Linked DNA regions of Neodiprion lecontei. The protein of the gene in region 1 purifies or fractionates together with the protein of each later gene. This does not show direct contact. Links are inferred from orthologs where the notes say so. Each region holds a gene or a part of one and is shown on either strand. Other genes may lie near its edges.

Evidence for each region. Proteins that work in one complex are often made in the same cells at the same time.
Region 2: the proteins of kinesin light chain (region 1) and JNK-interacting protein 1 purify together in Drosophila melanogaster (affinity purification with western blotting, with the first as the bait; 3 studies listed by BioGRID). This does not show direct contact. The link is inferred for Neodiprion lecontei from reciprocal best matches to the Drosophila melanogaster genes Klc and Aplip1.

The regions. Positions count from the first base shown.
Region 1 is NC_060263.1:21,591,765-21,602,907, reverse strand, and holds the start of kinesin light chain, read right to left. Parts: upstream 6,760-11,143; 5' UTR 6,408-6,759; coding exon 6,364-6,407; intron 5,016-6,363; exon of another isoform or gene 4,998-5,015; intron 4,054-4,997; coding exon 3,687-4,053; intron 3,265-3,686; coding exon 3,108-3,264; intron 2,888-3,107; coding exon 2,385-2,887; intron 2,151-2,384; coding exon 1,938-2,150; intron 583-1,937; coding exon 379-582; intron 1-378. UniProt on the Drosophila melanogaster protein: Kinesin is a microtubule-associated force-producing protein that may play a role in organelle transport. The light chain may function in coupling of cargo to the heavy chain or in the modulation of its ATPase activity.
Region 2 is NC_060261.1:43,605,793-43,616,509, forward strand, and holds the start of JNK-interacting protein 1, read right to left. Parts: upstream 5,230-10,717; 5' UTR 5,165-5,229; coding exon 5,082-5,164; intron 3,844-5,081; coding exon 3,634-3,843; intron 3,449-3,633; coding exon 3,207-3,448; intron 2,500-3,206; coding exon 2,227-2,499; intron 2,103-2,226; coding exon 1,950-2,102; intron 1,889-1,949; coding exon 1,605-1,888; intron 1,446-1,604; coding exon 1,267-1,445; intron 1,176-1,266; coding exon 1,103-1,175; 3' UTR 1-1,102. Other genes in the region: tryptophan 5-hydroxylase 1, read left to right, coding at 7,960-8,058, 8,140-8,244, 9,924-10,137, 10,575-10,678. UniProt on the Drosophila melanogaster protein: The JNK-interacting protein (JIP) group of scaffold proteins selectively mediates JNK signaling by aggregating specific components of the MAPK cascade to form a functional JNK signaling module.

The sequences.
Region 1 (11,143 bases):
TGCCAAGTCAACCAAGGCCATGGACAAATGGCGTTTAATAACATAATTCAATCAACGATTGATTTCTTGGGAACTACTCAAAACCAATGGGCCATATTATTTTTAAAAGCTTTTCCATCACTTTGTAATTCAAGCATGTTTTTGCACAAATTCATACTTGCCTTCTTGGATGTTTTTCGAATAAAACAAATTTCGTTTTTCATTTAGCAATTTTTTTCATAAATTAAAATACTATTTTGCGGAAGAATTCAGCTCTCAGAGGGTTAGCAGCACACAAAATGAAGAAATAACATATCATTTAACGTCACTTCTCACGTGGAATAACCCAAATTTGATCACGTAGCACTGACTAAATTCAATAAAATATGTGTAAATTACCTCTCTTCGTGACCTCAACGCACAGTCTTCAAGCGTTTCAGCAGCCTCATATTTTCCCTGTCGCCGGTAAAGTGCGCCTAAGTTTTTGAGTGTTGTAGTTACCGTAGGTGAATCGACTTTTGCTGCTTTATGCCAACCACCATATTCACCATATGGCGCGTTTTCCTTATTTCTATGTTTATTTTCTTCACGCTCTTCCGCTACCTGAAACAATATCAATAGTGTTTAGTATGTTTCATGCCCTTCCATTATACAATTTTTTTTGCGATTACACTTCTTAATGGACGCATTTTCAGAACTCACATTGCTCTTAATAATACATCATATTATTAACGTTAGTCTAATCTCGCTTCTGTCTTCTCCACAGCTTTATTTTCGTCTGATGTACTTGCACGCCTCTAGCATTACCTTCCTTGAATCAGTTTTTATCTTTCTATCTCTAGATCTTGTTTGTTCATTCCATCTATGCAACTTCTCATATGTTTTTTCTAAGCCTTCTCTGATCACTCTACATTCACAAGTGTAATACAATTTATCTGACCAGTTTAATTGCACCCTATGTCAGTAGAATTGATGTTGAGTGGAATATAAGTTTGCACCAAAGACGATTGGATTTACTGCGAGTTTGAGTACATCAAACGTTGAGCCCAATGTTTTCAGCATAATATTAAAAATTTCAAGTTGACTAAGGACCCTCGTTCCTAGGTTATTTCTGTACTTTACCAACTGTAGTCCTTGTAATCTATCTCTCATATTGGATCTCACTCTTAATCGACTTTTTCGGTGTGGCTGGACTTTTCTTCAGTTATATGTTTTTCTTTTTTCTCACCTTACTCCTGTCAACTAAGACTGCTGTCCAATTAAACGATACCATCATTTTTACTACTAGTCATGTTTCAATTTCTTATGACATATATTTTTTCTCAAGGATTTCTGGCATGGACACTGAGTGATAATGACATAGCGTACAACGCATCAAAACCTTTATAAAACTTAGTGAATCCAGGAAGTGAATACCACAGTGCGCATAGATACACGCATAAGACGTGTGAGCAGGGTGCAAGTAAACGTTTTCCCAACCACATTGATGAAAAGAGGCAAAAAGACAAAACCATAACGGAAAGCTGACTTCAAAATAACCAACATTTAAAACAGAAGTGGAGACTAGATCGAAGCATAAGCATGATACTCGAAGTACCAGCAAAACAAAAGAGATAGCAGGTGAGAGTGCGCAGGTGATAAATCGGTCAAGAGCTCGAAGAAATGATCAAGGAGCTGAGAAGGAAACAAGAAGCAAAAGGCAGGCAAGACAAGAGAAATAATATAGTGATCAGAGGCCCGGAAGTACTCTTAGAAGATACTGGGATTGAATTTAGTTGGTTGCCGGCCTGAATATAAGATAACGGTTTTATTTATGAAATCAGATTACTGTAAGTTATAACTTATTCAAAGAACACCTATATTTTTTAAAACTTAACACATATGAAATAATCATTTCTGTACGTGAAAAAGGATTGGAATTCATTTTAATAAGCGCATATGTACCCCTTTCAACACACCTGCCATATTGGTTTGTTGTCACCTTCAATTGCCCCAAATTCACGTTCATGAGCTCTTGTTAGGACCTGTTTGTAGAGAACCTCCGCCTCCTTATATTTTCCTTGTTTGAGGTAACAAGAGGCAAGATTATTTTTTGTCTTTGCAACGTTTGGATCGTCTGGCCCTAACTTTGATTCGTAAATTACTAAAGCACGTTGATAGTAGCGTTCAACCTGAAAGCAGATAAGAAATAAACTGTTACTTTGCAAATCTTGCAAGGAATTACATACAAAATTAAGTATGATAAAATCGTAAAAATAAATAATATTTATATATTCACTACCACTAAATTTTATTCGCGAAGTTTCGAGGGTTGAAAACTTAATACTTTGAAATCCATTTCCAAAAACTTCAGAAATTACAAGATATTTGGACACCAAATTGGCAATGCAATGAAAATAACATACCTCCTCATATTTTCCCTGGTTTTGACACAACAGCGCCAAATTATTCAACTGTTTTGCAACATCTGGATGCTCACGTCCAAGTACCTTTTCCCGAATCTCCAATGCACGCTTGCATAACGGCTCAGCTTCCTTATATTTTCCACGTTTACCATATAAAACAGCCAAGTTATTTAACGTTGCAGCAACAGCTGGGTGATTTTCACCCAAAGTTTTTTCTCTGATGGCTAAAGCATCATTAAGCAGATTTGCTGCCTCTTTGAACTTGTTTTGATCTCTGTAAACTAGGGCTAAAATATTTAGCATCGTCGCAACATCGGGGTGATCATGACCAGATGTTTTTTCAAGGTCTTCTAACGCCTGCTTGCACAGTGGTACTGCAACTTCGTAACGCCCTTGACTCGCATATTGGATAACAAGATTATGTAGAGTACGGAGACGTGCTGGTATTTCGTATCCAGCATTCACTTGTTGAGCGAACTGAGATGGTGGAGTTGGTGTCATGGCTGAAAAACAAGACAATGTCAAATTTAAAACACTGATTTCAGTCCGTACGGTCATAATGAAAGTCTGAATGATAGATGTATGAAATCAATGGGCAATCTACGAAAAAACTTTTGTAAGGCTTGCAAGAATCATTTCACAACTTGTTGATTAACGCAAATTATCAGATGATTCGAAGTTCTTTTAAGTGAATTGTGAATAACAAAGAGCAAAATAACTTACTTCGATCATCGTTATCATCATCCGGGAACAGATCAACAACTGGATCATCTTTCGGCCTATCCTTTGTATTTTCATCCTCAGCTGGTGGATCAGGATCAAATTGTCTTATGCTGGCCATAAAGTTCAGCTGCCTCTTCTCTACTTCTAGTTGTGCAACCTAAAACGAAAAGTTATGTTGCACTTTAGAGAATCAAATAGTGATGTTTTATAATAAACTCTACTTCAGAATGAGTTTTAAATTATTAACGTCAACTTTATACAACGTTGAAACCTAAATTACTATTTGGCAAGTCCAGAATAACTTTGAAAATGAATCTGTAAGCTATATAGATTTCAATGCTGTACGTAAAATGGAAAATCTTGGGAACTTTCTTGGTCACTTTTCATGTACCTTCATAAAGCAAAACCAGAAACACATAAATCCATGAATTTCACTCGTTTTTCATTCATCCAATTACCAACAACTCAATTATTTATTACACATTTTCAATAAACACATATTACTAGTTATCGGTATTACTAGATAAATAAACGAAAGGTGAAAATAATTTTTAAGTAACAAAACGGAAGGCTGCATACCGCTTGTTCACTGCCCTGCAACTTCTGTTGAGTTCCTGCAAGCTCGTCTCTGAGCCACGCATTTTCCTGACACAATCGTCTAACTTGCGTTCTGAGTTTCTGCTTCTCAGCTTCGACCATTTGTAAGTGACTAGCCAAGGCCATCATGACTTGTGCTTCTCCAAGACCCAATTCGATCATTTCAATATTCCTGGATATTAGACTGGCCTTTTCCCTCGCCGCTGGTGCCTCCTGAGACTGTAGACCCTGCAGGAGACCCCCGTGTTCACAGCGAAGAGCCTCCAGTCCCTGGGCCACCGTCCGAGCGCCGGCTACTATCTCCTCCTGTGTCATGGCTGTCATTCTGCCAATATGTTCGATTTTCTTACTGAAATTAAAACAAGCGGTATAAATTCAGTGAACCAATGTTCTAAAACGATCATTAATTATCGCTGATCGATGAAAAAAAAAGAATTACTTCACGTTTGATCTAAATAAAAAGTGGCTCAAGACTTTCAAACTCTATTTCTTTTTGAAGTTTCATGGTTATAGATGGAAAAATAAAATGTGGAGGCTCAAAATTTCGCCAATGATAGCTTTAAAAATACAATAATATTTAGAACAGATAATTTAAAAATATTTCAAGACAAGAAAAAAGCATATGATATTATTCCAAGAGTGAATGGTGTCTTAGGTTCCGGTGGAAATTGTACATTGCAATTCTCTGAATGACTGTGAAGAATATCAATTCGCTACGATTCGTCGATAGTTTAGATACATATACGAGAAAGGAAGAAATTAGTAAAGCATCAGTATCAAAAATTTTGAGAAATCTCTGACGACAAGATCAAATTTTATTCGTTCGTTTTGTAATTTGTGCATTATAAAAAAAAGAAGAAAAAAAATATTTACATATCACCTCTTCTTAAAAAATTATATTTCAGCCGAAACTTTTTCACAACTCAGTAGAATTATATAAGGTGATTCTTGAATATCTTTCTTCAGAAGAACGTTTATACTTATTGTAAAACAAAATACTATAATTATTTACAATTTTTCAAAGAAACAAATTTCACCAAGGTTTAACTAGAGAACTTCAGCGAGTCAACAAGTTTAACGAGATAATTAAATTTGAGGGGAAATTTTTTTATCTCCAATTACTTGATAACCAAGGACTGCGCGAGGGGTTAATAAAAACGTGTTCTTCACCCTGTGACCAATCCTCTATACAAGAGTGGTCATGAGCACCTCGAGACGGTACGTATTTAGTCCAAGAACCGGAATGAACTGACAATAGCACCTGCACAACGACGAAAGAAGAGGAGGACGTACGGAAACTTTATCCAGCGTTATACTCTAATTCAGGGGATTATTTTCACGGCGAAGAAGCCGGTAGCTACGTGACACCGAGAGTCTGCAGTAAAGACCAACTGGGACTTGAAATCAATAATAAGAGCTAACAACGACTGCGGTGGATGAGCCCCTAAAAATCTCGGTGGATATTACGCTAGCTGCGAGGATACGGGCTGCTACAAATGTATGGTTTTTTTTTTTATTTTTCATTATTATTTTTATTGTTAAAACGAGCCAAAACGCCCAGGGGAATCAATTATATCTGAAAACGAATCGGGATACGAACTTACCCCATGTCAGGGACGCGCGTGAACCGAAGTTTAATAAGTTAAAGCTCAATAATCTCGCGCACGCGTATCACGCCTCGATTCAATGCGACAGCGTACATATCGTGCATACGCGCAAGCAAATGTACGGATAGTAACATGTGAAAGGAGACAAACTACAGTAAAGTGTGTGTAAAGGCTTGTAAATCGGCGAAATTTTATGGGCCTGTTACACGTTGATAAGTTTTTTTTATTTTTTTATTTTTTTTTACAAAGGTACCAATACAGGTCACATAATGTAGAAGTCTTGCGGGGAGATCATGAGAAAATCAACCCTATCGTTGTCTGTTTTTCATAATTCATTAGGAGTTGATTGTGTGTACAGAGTGATGAGATTTATTCGCGATAGGAAGAGACGGAAAATGACTTGATTACTTAAACATCGCTTCTGTACGCCCTAGACACGTGATAAAGTAGTTTAATACAAAACCACAATATGTATAAGCCATCTAGCTTGAAAACGTTCTTGCACAAGGACACATGCGGCGAAATGTCTATTCCAACGAAATCTGTCTGTAATGTAATTCGCTACCGTACACGTTTGTTGTACATCGTGTTATTTTCGTTTATAAATGTGGTGTGAGATATATATCACATGTACTGGATCCGCAAACTGTCGAATTACTTAAAGTTCGCGAAGACAGTTGCGTGAACCTCGAATGATGAGATGACATATTTATTTGAGATTGCAATGAGTTTAATCAACGTGTATCTTGCAGATAAATTTACACGTTCTCCATTTCGGAGTTCATCATTAATAACATCCTATTATGTCCAAGAGCAGAAAAACAAAAAGAAGGTCTGTTAATAGAGTATTTATGCCGAATAATGATGCACGCATGTAAAAATCCAAAGTATTTGTTCACAGATTGAGTAATGATGGATATCTACACACAAAATGTATGTAAATATATCATATTACACTGCAGGTGAGTGGGGAAAAATTCAATCAATCGAAATTACGATAAACGAAGAGTATGAGAAATACAAAACATATTTCCAATAAACGTGTTACTCACATTCTATAAGCGTTCAGCGTTTTTGACATATCTGTTCTACCCATCAGTAATCAAAGAATTTGTATCTATTTTTTTTTCTTATTCTTTCAACCTACCTAATCGCTTATTATATACGAAACGTACTAAATATTCAATTAAATCAATTTATATTTCATTCTGTTTTTCTCTTTTCTTTCTTATTCTATGGACATTCGCGAGGGATATTGTCACAGTTGTCACACACTCGATATGTTATAACGTACGAGAGCACTTAAAATGGCAATCGGTCCTTTTGTTCTATTTGTAAAAAAATTTCAATTCATCACCCGAACACACGAAAGTACAAAAATATGCGAGAATAAATTTATGTCCGTTATATATGAGACGAAGAGAGCAGCCCCGTTCCTCGTCGCGTTTTCTTTACCACTGAGTGGCGCTTCTGCGTGTTCTACCCTTAAGCATAGCACGTATGTGTGTATGTACCTCCGTCCTCGAAATTGGGGGTGTTTCCACGCCTGCGCCGACCAATTTACGATAAATAACCACGGTCAAGGTAGAGAGAAGAGTTTCGTGTTTTTTTAACGCGACAATCATGTTTCATTGATAATGCGGTTTTTAAATAAATGCTCCAACGTATTTTACTTTCATTGAAAGCAAGTCGCCTTATACCATGGAAGAGTTTAAAGAAAAAGAATTTTCTAATTCAGTGTGATATCTATCAAATACAGGTCCGCGGAACATCGCATAACAAATTACTCGATTACTGTCTCAAAAAAATTTGCACATAATAATGTAGAAAATTGTGCTGAAATCACAAACGTCTCCATATTTTGATGCGCGAAAATGACGAGTAAAAATTAGCTTACGCGAATCAGATCAGGGCATATCCGTTTTATGCTGGCATACACGGAGAGAATATAAGAGCAGATATTACACAGAACTGCTGGAAAAGGGGGTGACATCAGGTTTTTTTTGTAAAATATACTTCGTAACGTGCAGAATTCACTCTAAAAACAGTGAAAACCATTGTGTACAGGGTAAAATCTCCTACATTTATAGTAAAAAATACAGTTGTAGCAGGTATAATAATATATAATTTGACGCGGTCTTTTTTTTTTGCAGTCTTAAGTGGAATCTAATTTTTTTCTCTCCCCGTGCATTCGGATTTGTTCTCATTTATCTGTCGCCCACGGATAGAATTTTCTTTGTTCGTCAATTTATTTTTCTAGACTTTCTCTATGTCTCTATTCATTTTGTATGGTTAGACAAGATGTACAATTGAGAATATGGAGGTCCGTAGAAGATCTTCGTAAAATTGTTGCGTCTGATGCTGATATTTTAGGGAGATCAGATTCAAGTTCAACTTCGCATTCAACAGCTATCCTCGGAATTTTTCATTTTGTCCCGAATTCTCGACTTTTGATATTGATTTTGTTAATTTTTCAAAAAAGTTGCGTACTTGGCGGTAAAGATTTTTATTTAAATATTTTTTCAGGCAGGGATATTGTTGCTTGTAATTATTTGAACTTGAATTTTCATTTTGGTGGTTTTTACATTGCAAAGTAAATTTTTATTCCTATAAGTTTCCACCTATACAGCTATGTGTTCACGCTGTGCGTACAGTCATTGCCCATGTAACCAGTGAACGACAACTGCAGACCTGCTCCTGCCGAGTGAGCGATGATTCATAGCATGACGACATGATATATCTTGGCCAACTTACGCAGCTTCCTTTCGTGAATGAAATTATTCCCTCGGCGATTATTAACGTTTTTGCGGAATGACGTCGGTGTGAATTTCAACTTGGTTTCTTTTTTATTTTTACAAAACAAAACAAAAAAAGAAAAAAACAATGTAGAAGTGACCCGCAAAATTTGCAAAAAAAAATATATACCACTTTTCTGTATTTGTTGTACAAGATGTTCTAATAAATCGGAAAGAAATACAGAGGGCAAATATTTTTTCACGTATTTGATGGTTGAAAGCAATGGCGGAAGTAGAGATACCTATTCGTTAAAATTACTTGAAAAAATCAGCCAAAGTAGCACAATACCGAAGGTTTATAGTTTTTTTGAGTCCGTTTCTTAGTTTTACGCAACTGACGTGAAATATATGTTCACATTTTCCGCAGAGCATCAGGCAGCTTCACGTCAATCTATCGTCGTGAAATTCGATAATGAGAAAAATATACCGAACACTAGACACAATGCGAGCTACCATGTTCGTGCAGGAAGTAGTGCGGAACTTTGAATGGATTAATTTTTTTACCCACATCACTGAATATCTCAACATTTCTCGTTACGAACGATAAATTTGATACAAATTTTAGTAAGTCAAGAAGAAGTGTAATACAATCTTAATATCCGTAGATTGTAATGGAAAGATAATTAAATCCGATGTGCCGACGTCGACGTAATCGCTTGTCAGATAAACGAACTCGCCCACGAGGTGTTAGAGAAATTGAATAACCTAGGCAGGTGCTTAATAACGTTATACTCACACCTCAAATGGTGTTGTAGCGTAAAACAGCAGGGCGGCGACCTTATACGACGCTATGGATATTCGTTAGGTAGGGTTCTGATCGTGTGTCGAATGAAATAAAATACAATCCCCCCGTTACCTGAATACCGCATAAGAATGATAACGGGGAAAATGTTTTTTTAAATATCTTTTCGTCAAGTCCGACATTCCGAAACTGCATCATCGTGGTCCACCTATCTCGCGTGTATATTCACGTTGAAAACAAAAACAATGGACGGGATAGAAAAAAATAAACACATGGTTTTTTTTCTCACGAAAGCTCAGCGGACAAATATCTAATTAATCTGACAATTTCTATACTGTAAATTAGAGTGCGAACGAATAATTCGTGATCCAATGGTCATGGTCAGTGATTTTTCGTCACGGTACCTCGGAGCCGGAGGAAATGGATTAGAGAATTAACTTCCGGTTGCACCTGTTCGTCTTGGAAGGCGTGGTTCGTGACGAGGAATGAATTATTTTTAGCTAAATTAGTGTAAAGAAAATGAAGCTTGGAGTAAAAAGGGAAAAATATACTCACTCTTGAGAACGGTCCATGCAGGAATCCCTAACGTGGACGGTCTTCAATGTACCATCCCACTGCTGTAAAAAGACATCTCTATCAATCTTATGGATTTCAAGGGACAGATTTATCCTTGAAGCGAGTTAAACGTCACAAAGATTCAAGGAACAAGTGAAAAATAACGTGCGGCTTTCACAAGATGGTAAATAAACTGGCAAGAAATTGTTCACCGAGTGGATTTATCGCAAGCTGATGACAGGCCAAAATGGCGAAGAGCGAAATGTATTAAAACAAACGCGAATTACTAGGTATTATTTACGATTGTTCACCAACTCACAATTAACTTCCCTCTAACACCGTTGGTATTTAAAATATTAACACGTTAAAGGTTATAGCCTCTCTTGTTCAAGTAGAACTTGACTTATTATCGCCTACTGATCGGAACCATCGGAACGAGCGAAAGCTGTCAAGTCGATCTAAAATTCCGACTAGCACGACTCCAGTTTCTGCGCCGGACCCGTGAACTAGCCACCGAACTATAATCAGAGACCATAGAAATAATATTAAGATAGAATGGGCGAGGTGCCGAAAAACCCGAAACGCGCATGAGAAAAGAAAGAGAATGTCTAGATTTTCATGGGCAGCAAAATACTTCCACAGTATTTTGCAGCCTAGTTCTTGGCCAATACAAATGCCAAGAAAATAGGTAATTCGTATTTAGCGCGCACCAGGTAGCGCTAGAGTCCGTTTTGTAGAGACTCCAGGTAGAGCTTTCCTGCTTTATTGCCATTCCTAGTGGTCAATAACTCTGCAATAAAATACTACCGTAGCATTTTGCTGCCCGTGAAAATCCAGCCAATCGCTGCTGATATCTCTTTGCCCTTGTCTCTTCTCGCCCGTCCATTTCACTGTTAGTGGTGTGCGGGGTGTGCGTCAATAAAGGACAGTTTACAATGTCCGTTACCGTAACCGTAACCGCTGCGTTAGGGAGGTGAAGGATATAATAGGGATTATAGGGAACCCGTACTATGATTTCCAACGCCAACTGATAACGCTTTCGTAGAATCCGTTTTATTGTTAGTAGAATCTAGCCAAATTTTAACTTCATACTTAAGCGTTTCTACGGTCAGCCATTCAGATTGTAGATACTTACGACATAGCAATGGTCGAACGACGTTATGCACCGGTCTGCTTACTGATATACTTCGAATTCTCACACATAGGTGGCGATTCAACGGTTTTTTTCTTGTAACTATCTCACAAGTGCACAAAACTATAATCTATAGACTTATAAAAGATAGACTGAGCGCGCATATGAGCCGCTTGAAGCAAACATTTAAAGGACAGAAATATGCCGGGAGTAGTACTCCTTGCTCTCTCTGATGATATTTGTGGCGGGGATCGAGGCGGTAGAGGGAGAATGAGGCGAAATTATGCGCCTATATCTATAGTTGTCCACTTTCACTACGCCCTTGTCTCCCGGTGTGAAACTGATTGAAAAGAGAGAGCAGCCTCCCAATATATCTCTGTCCTTTATATGTAAGCTTCAGTACCTCTTGTAGGAGCGCTCAGTCTATAAGTCTATGCTTCGAACACACATTGAAATAGCGTCGTGGCAAACAGCTACAAAATTGACGTTATCAAACAGTTACTGATTCTACCCCATTCGGAACATGTACGGTATCAATGAGCTCGGTTACCGAAGCGACAACTTTTTTTTTTCTTGCGGCAAAGCGTAAGTACGTGTTATCTGCCACA
Region 2 (10,717 bases), on another chromosome or scaffold:
TCGCTAAAACCCAATTTCCCCAAGATTATTGCAGGGTATTTACTTTATTTCATTCTTGTATTCAGTTTGACAAAGATTGCTGTTGTAACATGTTTTTTCACAATATTCATTTCATGAAATGCAAGTCTTCTGTCGGAAGAAAGTAATTCATTTGGAATGTAGGTACTGTAACTAGTATTCACAGCTGTCAAAAAGCTAGTGAACGATTTTTTGTCATTAGATCAGATTAGATCCACATGATTTTTTTTGCAACTACCGCGCATTGTTCGGAAAAAAATACGGATCTAGCGAGATTTAATCTGATTTGACCGGTTCAAATTTCAAAGAAACCAGCCATCCCGGGTGCGTGTCCTCCCCTCATCAGTTCATTTCCAAATTGACATTATTCACTGTCTTATACACGTTATACAGTATTAGTAATACAGTGGTTACTTTATCTTAATTGATAGAATGAAATCAGAGTCAGTGTTTCAAAAATTTTGCAGCTCATTGAAAAGACACAGAAAGGATCGGTATTTGAAGTATGTGTAACTCATCACTTGCGTACTTCACACGTCCGTGGTCATGTTAAGGCTTTTTTTCATTATTATAATTAATATCATCTCTGGTAAGAATTTGCAATTGATCGAAAGGCTCACCTTGCGAGTTCTCAACAGTCCATCAGTACACCAATTGTGAAAATCGAACGCCCAATCGTCACTGTATTATATCTATGTATAAATGCGCGACGTTTAGTACATATTAAAAACAATTTTTCTCAAAGTTTTCAATCTCTTCGAATAATACATTTCGTCGTGCGAAAACGATATACCACGAAAAACTAATTTAATCGCTGAGGGTGTACAGCCGCTACAGAAAGAAAAATTAACGTTACCGTACGTATTTTCTTGTATCTAGGCGAACCGGCGCGAAATATTTTCTGCAAAGGCTGAACACGTCGCAGTTTTTTTACCATGCGAATAATGATTCTTTATTATCGTAATTGTTTATATTGGGCATTTGATTTAGACTTAGTATATATAAGGCTAAATCAGCTAAGGGGTGGTATTTACAAGGGAATGAGATCGTCAGCGTCAACAGCAACTTATATTTCAGCAATTCATTACTCTATGTAGATGTCTTCTATGGGGAAAGCAGTCTCGATGAATTTCGTGTAGAACCGGTGAAAGGCTCTCCTGCAACAGAAGACGCAAGACATCCACGTTCCTCGTTACGTAAGCAGAAACCATGCAACATACGCAATATATCAATATAGTTTTTATTTACCCAACTGCTTCGGCAACAGGTCGCGTCGACTCTTGGCCAATAAATACGTGACAGGCGAACCTCTGGAGCGTTGGGTGTTTCGTTATGAATCCGAGATAGCGATGATCCCGTGGATGAAAAGCGCAAAACGAGACGTTCTTCAGCGAGTAGAAGTAGTCGTGGCAAGGGCCCCGATTTTTCTGCAGGGACCACAGAAAAAAACGAGACATATTGTTCGTGAGAGTTCTAATTAGGACCGAAGGGCTATAGAGCTGTGGTTCTTCTTTCGTGAAACGAAAACTTCTCCGTCGAAGACGGTGGCTTTCGAAAATCGTTGAAAAATACTCCCCTGCCATTACCTGCGGTTTGCTCCGGTCGACCATCCGCAAACCCTGGTCAGACACTTCTAGAATGCAACTCTGAGACGCGGGCGATTCCTGACTCGGGGCACCGACGATTCTGCGAACGGCTTGGCAGACGACGCCCGTTCCTTTGTGAGCAAGAGTCTCCACCGATCCGAGGTATCCCAGTAGGTATCGTTCCCGTTTCACCTTCGGAGCCGAAGGATCGAAGTCGCTGTAGTCCATGTCCACCGCGTAAGCCGAAGGGAAGATACCTTGTCTGCCAGTCCTCAGGTTCACACCTGAAACGAGAAGAGGCTCACTCTGCTTATCGAAGACAATTCTGCCGCCGGAGTTTCATACCTTCGCACCAAAGATCGTCAGCCTCCTTCTGCACGTATATCGGGTCCCCGATCTCTAAGTCGATTTCGTCGTGATGTCGCGGCACAAACTTGTGCAGCCCGCGATGAGTCGCCTCCAGTAGTTCTAGCTGCGTGAAAGGAACTCCACCGCTACCTGGAGGGAGCAAATTTTCAATACGAATAAGGTATTGTTTTTACAACCACCGTAGATTTGGATACTAATCGAAGCTTTACTAATTCTGCTACTTATTTTCTGCTTTTTTTTTTTCTGCGTTCACCTGGCGTGCTGCTCGGCGAGACTGAGTTCGTATTCTGTACGGTGCTGCACGGAATTGGAGACACACTCTTGGGCCCGTTGTCTGGGGAATGAGCGGTGGAGTGGCCACTGTCCGTCGTCATTCTCTCGCTGTCCGGGGAACTATCCTCATGACGGAGACGCGGATGATACTTCCTCAGAACGAGATGCGGCCGTCCCGCCGTTGACGTTGCCGCCCCCAGCTCGTCGGCGAGCGACGGAGACGAGTGAAGAGACGAATGGCACATCGACACGGCTGTCAATTAGTTATATACGTTCATAACTCAAGGAAATTCTCCAGGTTCCACATTTACGAGCATGATATTTCTTTTCACTTCAAACTAACGATTTTCTTAATGTATACCGTTATGTTTTCACGATCCAATCAATTTTCAAGGAAACACAGAGCTTTTACGACTGTGAAACTCACCCCTGTTGTAGACACAAGAGTAATGCATGATGATTGGAATTGCAGAAGATTCTCTTTTCATAAACCGTGTCTTTGTAGCACTCGGTGAGTACGACTATTATTTTCCACCGAGTTTATTTCGAATAATCTAAGAAATAAAGGTAAGTAACGACTGAATTCTCCGAAGATCGAGACTAGAACTGATTCGTTACATACAGCAGTTTTCTTTTTGTTTCCTTTTGCTCTCTTTCTGGCGGTTATTTTCTGTACGCTTGTCTATTTTGCGGTTAATTATGTCAACCTCATACAGCAAAAGCCTCTATTTCCTTTCGTCACACATGATTTGTGATCAGAGGCTGCTAATGTTTCACGCAAATGGCGATCGACGGAGATCAAGTTACGACGACAACATCGGCATAATCTCCCGAGTCTCGTTACTTTTTCTTTGCTCGGGAGAACCGATGGAAATACAAATTTCAACAATACACCGTGAGCACGTTTACTCGTCGTCACGTGTCAACCGATGTGAATTACGTAGAACTGGCAATGCTTACATTTTTTCGTCTTTGGAATCTCCGGAAGTCGTCTCCGCCTGCGTTCGCCGCTTGCGGTGCACCCGCTTCCGCTACGATTTGACGGCACGTGTTCCGGAGTGGGCCAGGAGCTGAGGCTCGAGCAGGAGTCACCTACGTCACTGATTACACTCTCCCTGCCGCAGCCTCCACCTTCCGATCTTCCTTGTCCTCCTCCAGCCCCGGAAACCGATCGCCTCCTACTGCTCAGTCCACCGAACAAGCTAATGTCACCCAACGCAGTGTCCTTGTCACTAGTCTACTCACATGCCATTGAAATCTTCTAACCTCCCATCGAGAGTCGATCTTATAAACAGACTCATAGCTACGCGGGTTCGGACTCGCCTGCCGTTCGTATGAGCGAGAACCCACGCAAAGATGAGATGCGAGGAAAGTGCACTTGCCATACCTAAAGTCGCTGTCAGCTACGATGGAACAGTGGTGGTCTAGCTCTTCGTCGTCGTCTCCTGAGCTCTGCTCGCTGTGGTTTCCGTGACGATGAATAAGCGCGACAACCTCGTCGTCCTCCGAGTCCACGGCTGCACCATTCTGACCGACGTCTCCGTCGCTGCCCTGCGAGGACGTCGGTGAATCGTCGACCATGACATCGTGGACCAGTCTGTCGCGAGATGAAAGACGAAACAAGTAACGCTCATTCATAAATTTCACTCTTCTACCTCACGTCATGTGCTTAATACTAGATTCCAGATTAGTAAGCTCTCTCCTTCGATTCATCGGTCTTTGGTCTGAAAGTGCTTGTTGAAAGAGAAGCTGTCGAAGCGCGTACGTTTTCTTCCCTAAGATGCTATTGATTACCAAAAAAAATTCACCACGCCGACCCCAAAGTTTGAATACCGTACGGAAGGACATGTATGTACCAGACCTCGTCGAAGAATAGTTTATAAACGTTTGATCACATAGCCAGCCATTGATTTTTACTAGAGCGCACGAAACGTCTACACTTACTCCGTTTTTCCAATGCGCAGATGAAGTTTCTGACCACCATGCTCTTGTGGTAAACTGAAACCCTAAGTCTGGGAGCACATCGGGTTTCAACGATATTTGTAATACGCTCCTAAAATATTTTTTATATACTAATGATCTTGGACGGCTCGTTTATGGTTCATATAATTTACCGACCATGAACATTCCGCTTCAATATCACGGCTGGTGATTTTTACCTGCCCCCCCCCCCCCCCCCCCCCCTCTCCTGCATGACATGTCAATAGTTTTGGTTTCAATTACAGTGTTTCGGGTATCGATTGAAACTCCTGAAGTACATTGAAACCACATCTCTTGATTCACCCCCTCTACCTGGGTTGCGGAACATTAAAAAGACGTTATTGGATGAAATTTGAGTTGAAATAAGGCTGGCAGAATACAAGGAATACGAAATTTGACAGTTGCCATGAGAAATGTCTGAGAATCCATTTGTATACAATATGTATGCATACTCGTAAACTGCAGTTCACTAAGGCTCGGCAAACCACAAGTTGTACCAAATGGTCAGAAAGATTTTGTCGACCAGGATGATGTAGTTATATTTCTTCTATTAGAACAATTTTCCCTGTCATTATTTACGCTGCATCGACGAATTTTTTACTCATGCTGTAAATTGCACCCCGTGTTTATTGACAACCGTGGATCGCCCCAACAAACCATTGATCGATGATGATTGTGACGTTATTTATAAATATCACCGTGTCCTATAGACCCATTAACGTTGACAAGGATAGTGAAAACGATGTCGCATGTCAGGGTGCTTCTTCATCAACGCGAGCGGCTTCAACGTGTCAAGTGTTTTCCTCCACAGTAAAATCCACCACGGATGGAAAGATAACTGATAAAATTACTCACGTGTAATTTGATATCGGTGCCTTGAGATGTTGAGGCAGTCTCTCAAAGTAATGCCGGAATTCTTCAAACTCTGAATCAGCCATTCTTGAAAGGTCGGTCCGTGGAGGCGGCCGACGGCGGAGGCGACCGGGCCGGACGAAGGCGGCGCACGCGTCGCAAACCTATTGATTCCTGGACGCAGCGTGACGCGCGCACCCCTCGAGCGAGCCTCGAGATGAAAAACGAATATGGGGGCGCAGAGGGATGAACGAAATACGAAACTTCTACTCGTGTGATGCAGCGCCTAAACGCCGTCCCGTCACCCGTGAACCACTTGCATCAAATCCAAGCAAACAATTGCAAGAGTTCGGACACTGGTGGCATTGATTATACCTAGAGAAAATTTGGCTAAACCGCTGTTGTTAACGATCGTGAGAAGTACCTACAATACGGATACCGATGTTGACGCGTTGGACGATGACTACCTTGTACAACTAATGCGGTTTGACAAGGTCCTTCCCCTAATTCGGCCAATGAAGCACCTCGAAATTGAGTGGTCTCACCTTTCGTACGCTTTTTAATTTTCGGCTGGCTTCCGCCTTCGTTTCTTCAGCATACCTCCGTCCCATCATTCGTGCCGAGGAACGTCGTTGAAAGGATCCTAGTGTTTGCCAACACCGAATGCCCATCATCTTGCGCCTAACCATTTGCCTCCCACCGGCTTTGCAAACGCTAGTTCGAATCGAAGCTCTCTTTAAATAACCAGGAGACTCCTCTCCACTTTCGTTCCATGAATAAAACTCCCCGCTCTCAACGAGTACTATATTGCCTGAGAGAAACCTTGTACCGAATCGCGTACGACCTCCGTCTACCTGTTACAACGAGCCTGAAAAGACTTCACGCAATTTTCTTTATCGTATAAAAATTTATGCCGATTCATCATGCTTATCGAAGTACATGTAGTCATATCTCAGAGTTTCCAGCTACCGACATCGAGTGATAACCACAGGGCCGGTACTGGGCCACCCTTAACATAACACTCGACGAAGTGGGCAGAAGCAGTAAACCGATCTCCGATGCCGGCAGACGGTCCGAGCATCGCCATTCATCTGGACCCGGTCTTGCCGTTCGCTCAGCGAATGAGACGCTCCCCGATGGATGCGGGCCGTAAGTAATTGAAGCAAGGTGAAACAGACACTTCCAGAGATATACGCAGTGTAGCCTGCGACTATCGCCCACACCCCAGACCACGGGTGAGCCAAAGTCTGGTACAGGCGTCTGTCACCTCAAATCCCACGATAATCAGGCCACTGGATGTCGCTTGCGAACTTCGTCTATGACGCTTGTGCCCTGCTGACCATTTTTAATCGGCATGTATTTACGTCACCGTTCCTTTCGATGCACCACATGGATGAAGTGCGTTCTAGCAGCAAGGTAGGTCTGTAAGATCGTTATTTTTCTATTGCAAAACCAAGCGAAACACCCGGTACAACTCGGCCACCTCGACTGCCTCTGGATAGTAGCTGATAGTGGTAAGTGATGGGCTGGCTGGATAATGTGCTGTATCTGCTTTGTGGAGAAGCGGTGAGAACCGATAGGACTCGCTAGGGTAGAGAAGTGGGTTCGGGCTTTTGTTAAGCATTGTCTCTCCTTTTCTCATTTGCTTTCCGTTCTCCTACTCTCGTTCCCCAGCATTTTCTCATACTAAACACACATTCATCCAGAAGACCAATCTCGCAATTTTAGAGCACAGTGTCGTACCGTCTGATGCATTTTCTTTTTTTTTTTTCTTTTCTCGACAAATTACGACGTACTCCCGTCGAATACATAAGTCAAGTCTGCGTAACGTACGCAACATCGTGACAGCAGAAGGATACGTGGTATATTTCTTGCCGATCAGAGGATAATCGTTCCGTCGTCTACATTATTCGTCCGTGGACATGTTATGTGCAATGATTAATTGTTCGTCTGGTTCGATCCGGACTGCTGCTCTGGAGTTACGAAAGTTCACGTTTTCACGGACAAAAGAGTGAGTGTGTAACGGTCCGTGTCTGCGAAATTAAATACTATCTTGGAGCGTTATGATACTGCTCGGTTTATAAGCGATGCCAGATGTGCATCAACAATGGTCCCGTACACGACGAATCCAATTAGTAACTCATTTGTAAACCAATTGACGTAACTTGGTCGTGCATTTTATGAAGAAGTCTTCTGCAGCAAACGAACAGATAATCTGTCTGAACTCGGTTAAATTTAACAGATTTTCTAGTACCTGTGTTCGAAATTAATTAAAGCTGCTCGATAATACAAACTCGACATACTGCTAATTTTTAACAATCGATTATTTCTCCAACAATCAAAGTTACACTTCTCATTGTTTCAACTGTTTCCGTAATTCGTCGTGAATATTCTCAAGAGGTGAGGATAGAGGTCAGAATTCAAGGACGTCAGAGATTATACAGGGTCTCGCCGCAAGTTTGCCGGAAGGACCGGGAAAGAGGGAGGATAGCGTCCTCAGGAGCAAGAACGAACCACCCCCATAATCCCCGTACTCCTATAGAAAACCGTCTCTGCCAATAGTTGCCCGTCATCCCCTTGCTCAGGGACCAATCGGGAGCCGATGTTGGACGAAGACAGGGAGCGAGGACGCCACGGCGGAGGGGTGAAAAGCTTAAGAAGACCGGAATCGGCTGCAGGGTGAACACTGTCGGTCCTTCCGCAAGAGAGATAGAAGCATCATCCAAGAGTGAGGTTGAACCTGCGTTGCGTTCTTTACCGAGACGTGTTTATCCAAGTAAAATCGAAAATCTTCGATTAAGAACACGTGAAATTTTTCTTTCCTGAGCCTTGCGGCGGCTGCGGATTTCAAATAAAATCCCTACGTAAATACGCAACAGTTATGAGCGGTTCTGGAAAAGGTCTTTTGGGCATGTGGCTCTACAGAAGAGGCCAAGAGTGGGCCATCAAAGAGGGAAGCCCGATGCACAAGGTTCCAGACGTGAGTACATGAAATCGGTGACGAAGGCGACCGTTGATCCTCAGAAATGAACGATCTTCTGATCCGATTATACGTGTCCAGGTCCCGATGACTGAGCGGGACGCAAGTGAGGAGAATAAAAATTCGGTAATCTTCTCACTGAAGAATCAAGTTGGAGGCTTAGCTCGAGCGTTGCAAGTTTTCCAGGTAAGCTGCTTGCCCGCTGATCGAATCAAGTACGTATACCGCAGCCGAACAATTAAGGATCCTAGATTCTTTCTTCTTGAACACGTCGAATCTCGGCAGCGAAACCAACTTTATTCGATTGGAGGATAGGCAAGTGGAGACGGAGGAGAAGCAGGAGTAGAGTGATTCCATATGATAATTTCCCCCTCTGGGAACCAGTCCCACCTTTTAAAGAAACGATAGGTGACCGGTAGGAGCGCGGGAAAATCGTTGCGTCGGAACAGTTCTTCGGATTGCGTGAAACGACACTCACGCTCACTGCTCGTGACATAACGGTCCAGTCTTGAGCAACATTTCAAGTTACTCACTCGACGACACGTGTCTTGCTGCACGGAAATAACAACAAGATCATGTGCAATAAAGGCGTCCTTGTGCATCGGAGACGGTAACATACACTAGTTTCTTTATTCTACTCACGGTATTAGGCTAATTTCCGACGCTTTGTAGCATGGGAAGTGAAAATGGAATGCTATCAAGTATCGCGTGTAAAGTCGACGAAAACCAAATTCACCGGTGTTTCACTTTTCACCCCATTAATTAACCAAAAGTCTGAGTGCAGAGTCGAGAGATATCACTTGCGCAAATGTCATAGTGGGATGTGGTTAACTGGTTTCTGCCATAGATTTCTATCAGTCGAGTATTATTTCTCTATTCGATTTGGCACATTTAACATTACCCTACGTTTGGAACACCGTTAACAGCGGGGCCGTAACGAGTTGTGATAAAAATTCTATTTTTACATCGGAAATCTCGTAATTCAACATACGCGTGTACATTCTAGTGAATATACGCGTTCAACTCCGTTCGGCATTGCAGAAATTAAGATACACGCTGCGAGCATGATATCTCGGAACAACATCTTTTAAACTGAGGTGAAATTCAGATAACACATGCGAGCCGGATGCACAATTTCGAGATTACGAACCAAAAGCTTTTTTTTCATGAATTCGTTCTTGCGCTAATCCGACTCGGGCTAAAAGTAATAATAATTTCAATGAAAATCCTTGAGAGTACGTCAATATTAAGAAATGAAGTGTTAACTGACTTTTATAACATTAGGTACGAGCCATTTTTTTTTTTTTTTTTTCTATCCAAATTAGTCTTGATGCTTGTACTTATAAGTGCAGCCTTTGATATAACTATTGCATATTTGTCGCTGCTTCGGTATTGGGACAAGAACTCGTGACTCCGCAAATTCCATTGACCACTTTCATTAAACGAGTAACGAAAGACCTTAGCCAAAAAAAAAAAAGAAGGAAAAAAGAACATCTATCCCTATCTTGATGTTCAGTGACTAAAATGAACGCATGCCGCCCTTGACCGCCTAGAAATAACGTGTCCGTCAGTCCGGAGGTTTCGAGCCGTTCTCCTTGAAAACCCGAGTAGAACAAGACAGCAAATGGTTTCTACACTCGATGCTCAACGCACAGCGCATTTTATTCCTAGGTTAACGTGCGACATGCGTGAAATATCTGTATCGCGCGATCGCGGACTGAGGTTGTTCGTTTGTCAGAAAGAACCGCCAAACCGGGTATTACGAAATGGTACCGTTTTGCGCAAGGCTCCAATTAAAACAGACCGGCCGGGCCGTTAGATCGTAGATTGGATTCCGTTTGAAATTCACATTCACTTCTGTTCAGGACCTAGGCGTCAACGTTGTCCACATTGAGTCCCGTCGATCGGCGCAACGCGGTCCCGAGTACGAAATTCTGGTCGACGTCGAGTGCGACGGAAAAAGGATGGAGCAGCTCATGAGGATGTTGAGTCGGGAGGTGGCCGCTATAAATCTGGCCCAATACGAACAAACAGGAAATATTCCTCAGCCGCCAACCTTGTCGGCTGCCCCGAGCTTCGGTCAGTCGATTCTCATGGCGTCGATGTAACCTTCCCTGTCTCACTTTTCGTGTTAGAATTTGATAATTGATCGCGTATTGATCCCCATATTTGGCATTGATTCACGACTCTGATTACTACTTTCATTTTCCCTTCGGGAGTTGCGTCCATACGTCTTTTCGGGAGTTATATATATATATATATATATAACCTATTATATATATTCACCATGTATATATGTATAACAGAAGTTCCCTTGAAAAATAAACTTCGTCACGAGACGCGTAAAAGTTGCACCAATTTTATTTCTGTATAGTGAAACAACGGTTTCTCAAAATATTAAAAATGATCAATATTCAAGGCATGAAATTAACTGCGGTTTCGGTAATGCGCGGATCGGAATCGGTTTTTCCCCGCTTCGATAATTAATTTTTCATGCGAATTTGAGGTCCTTTCAGATTTCAGTGAGGTCGACATGCCGTGGTTTCCGCGCAAGATCGCTGACCTTGATCAAGCTCAAAAGGTGCTGATGTACGGCTCCGATTTGGATGCTGATCACCCAGTGAGTTCATCTGCTTACATACAGAAACTATTTTCGTCT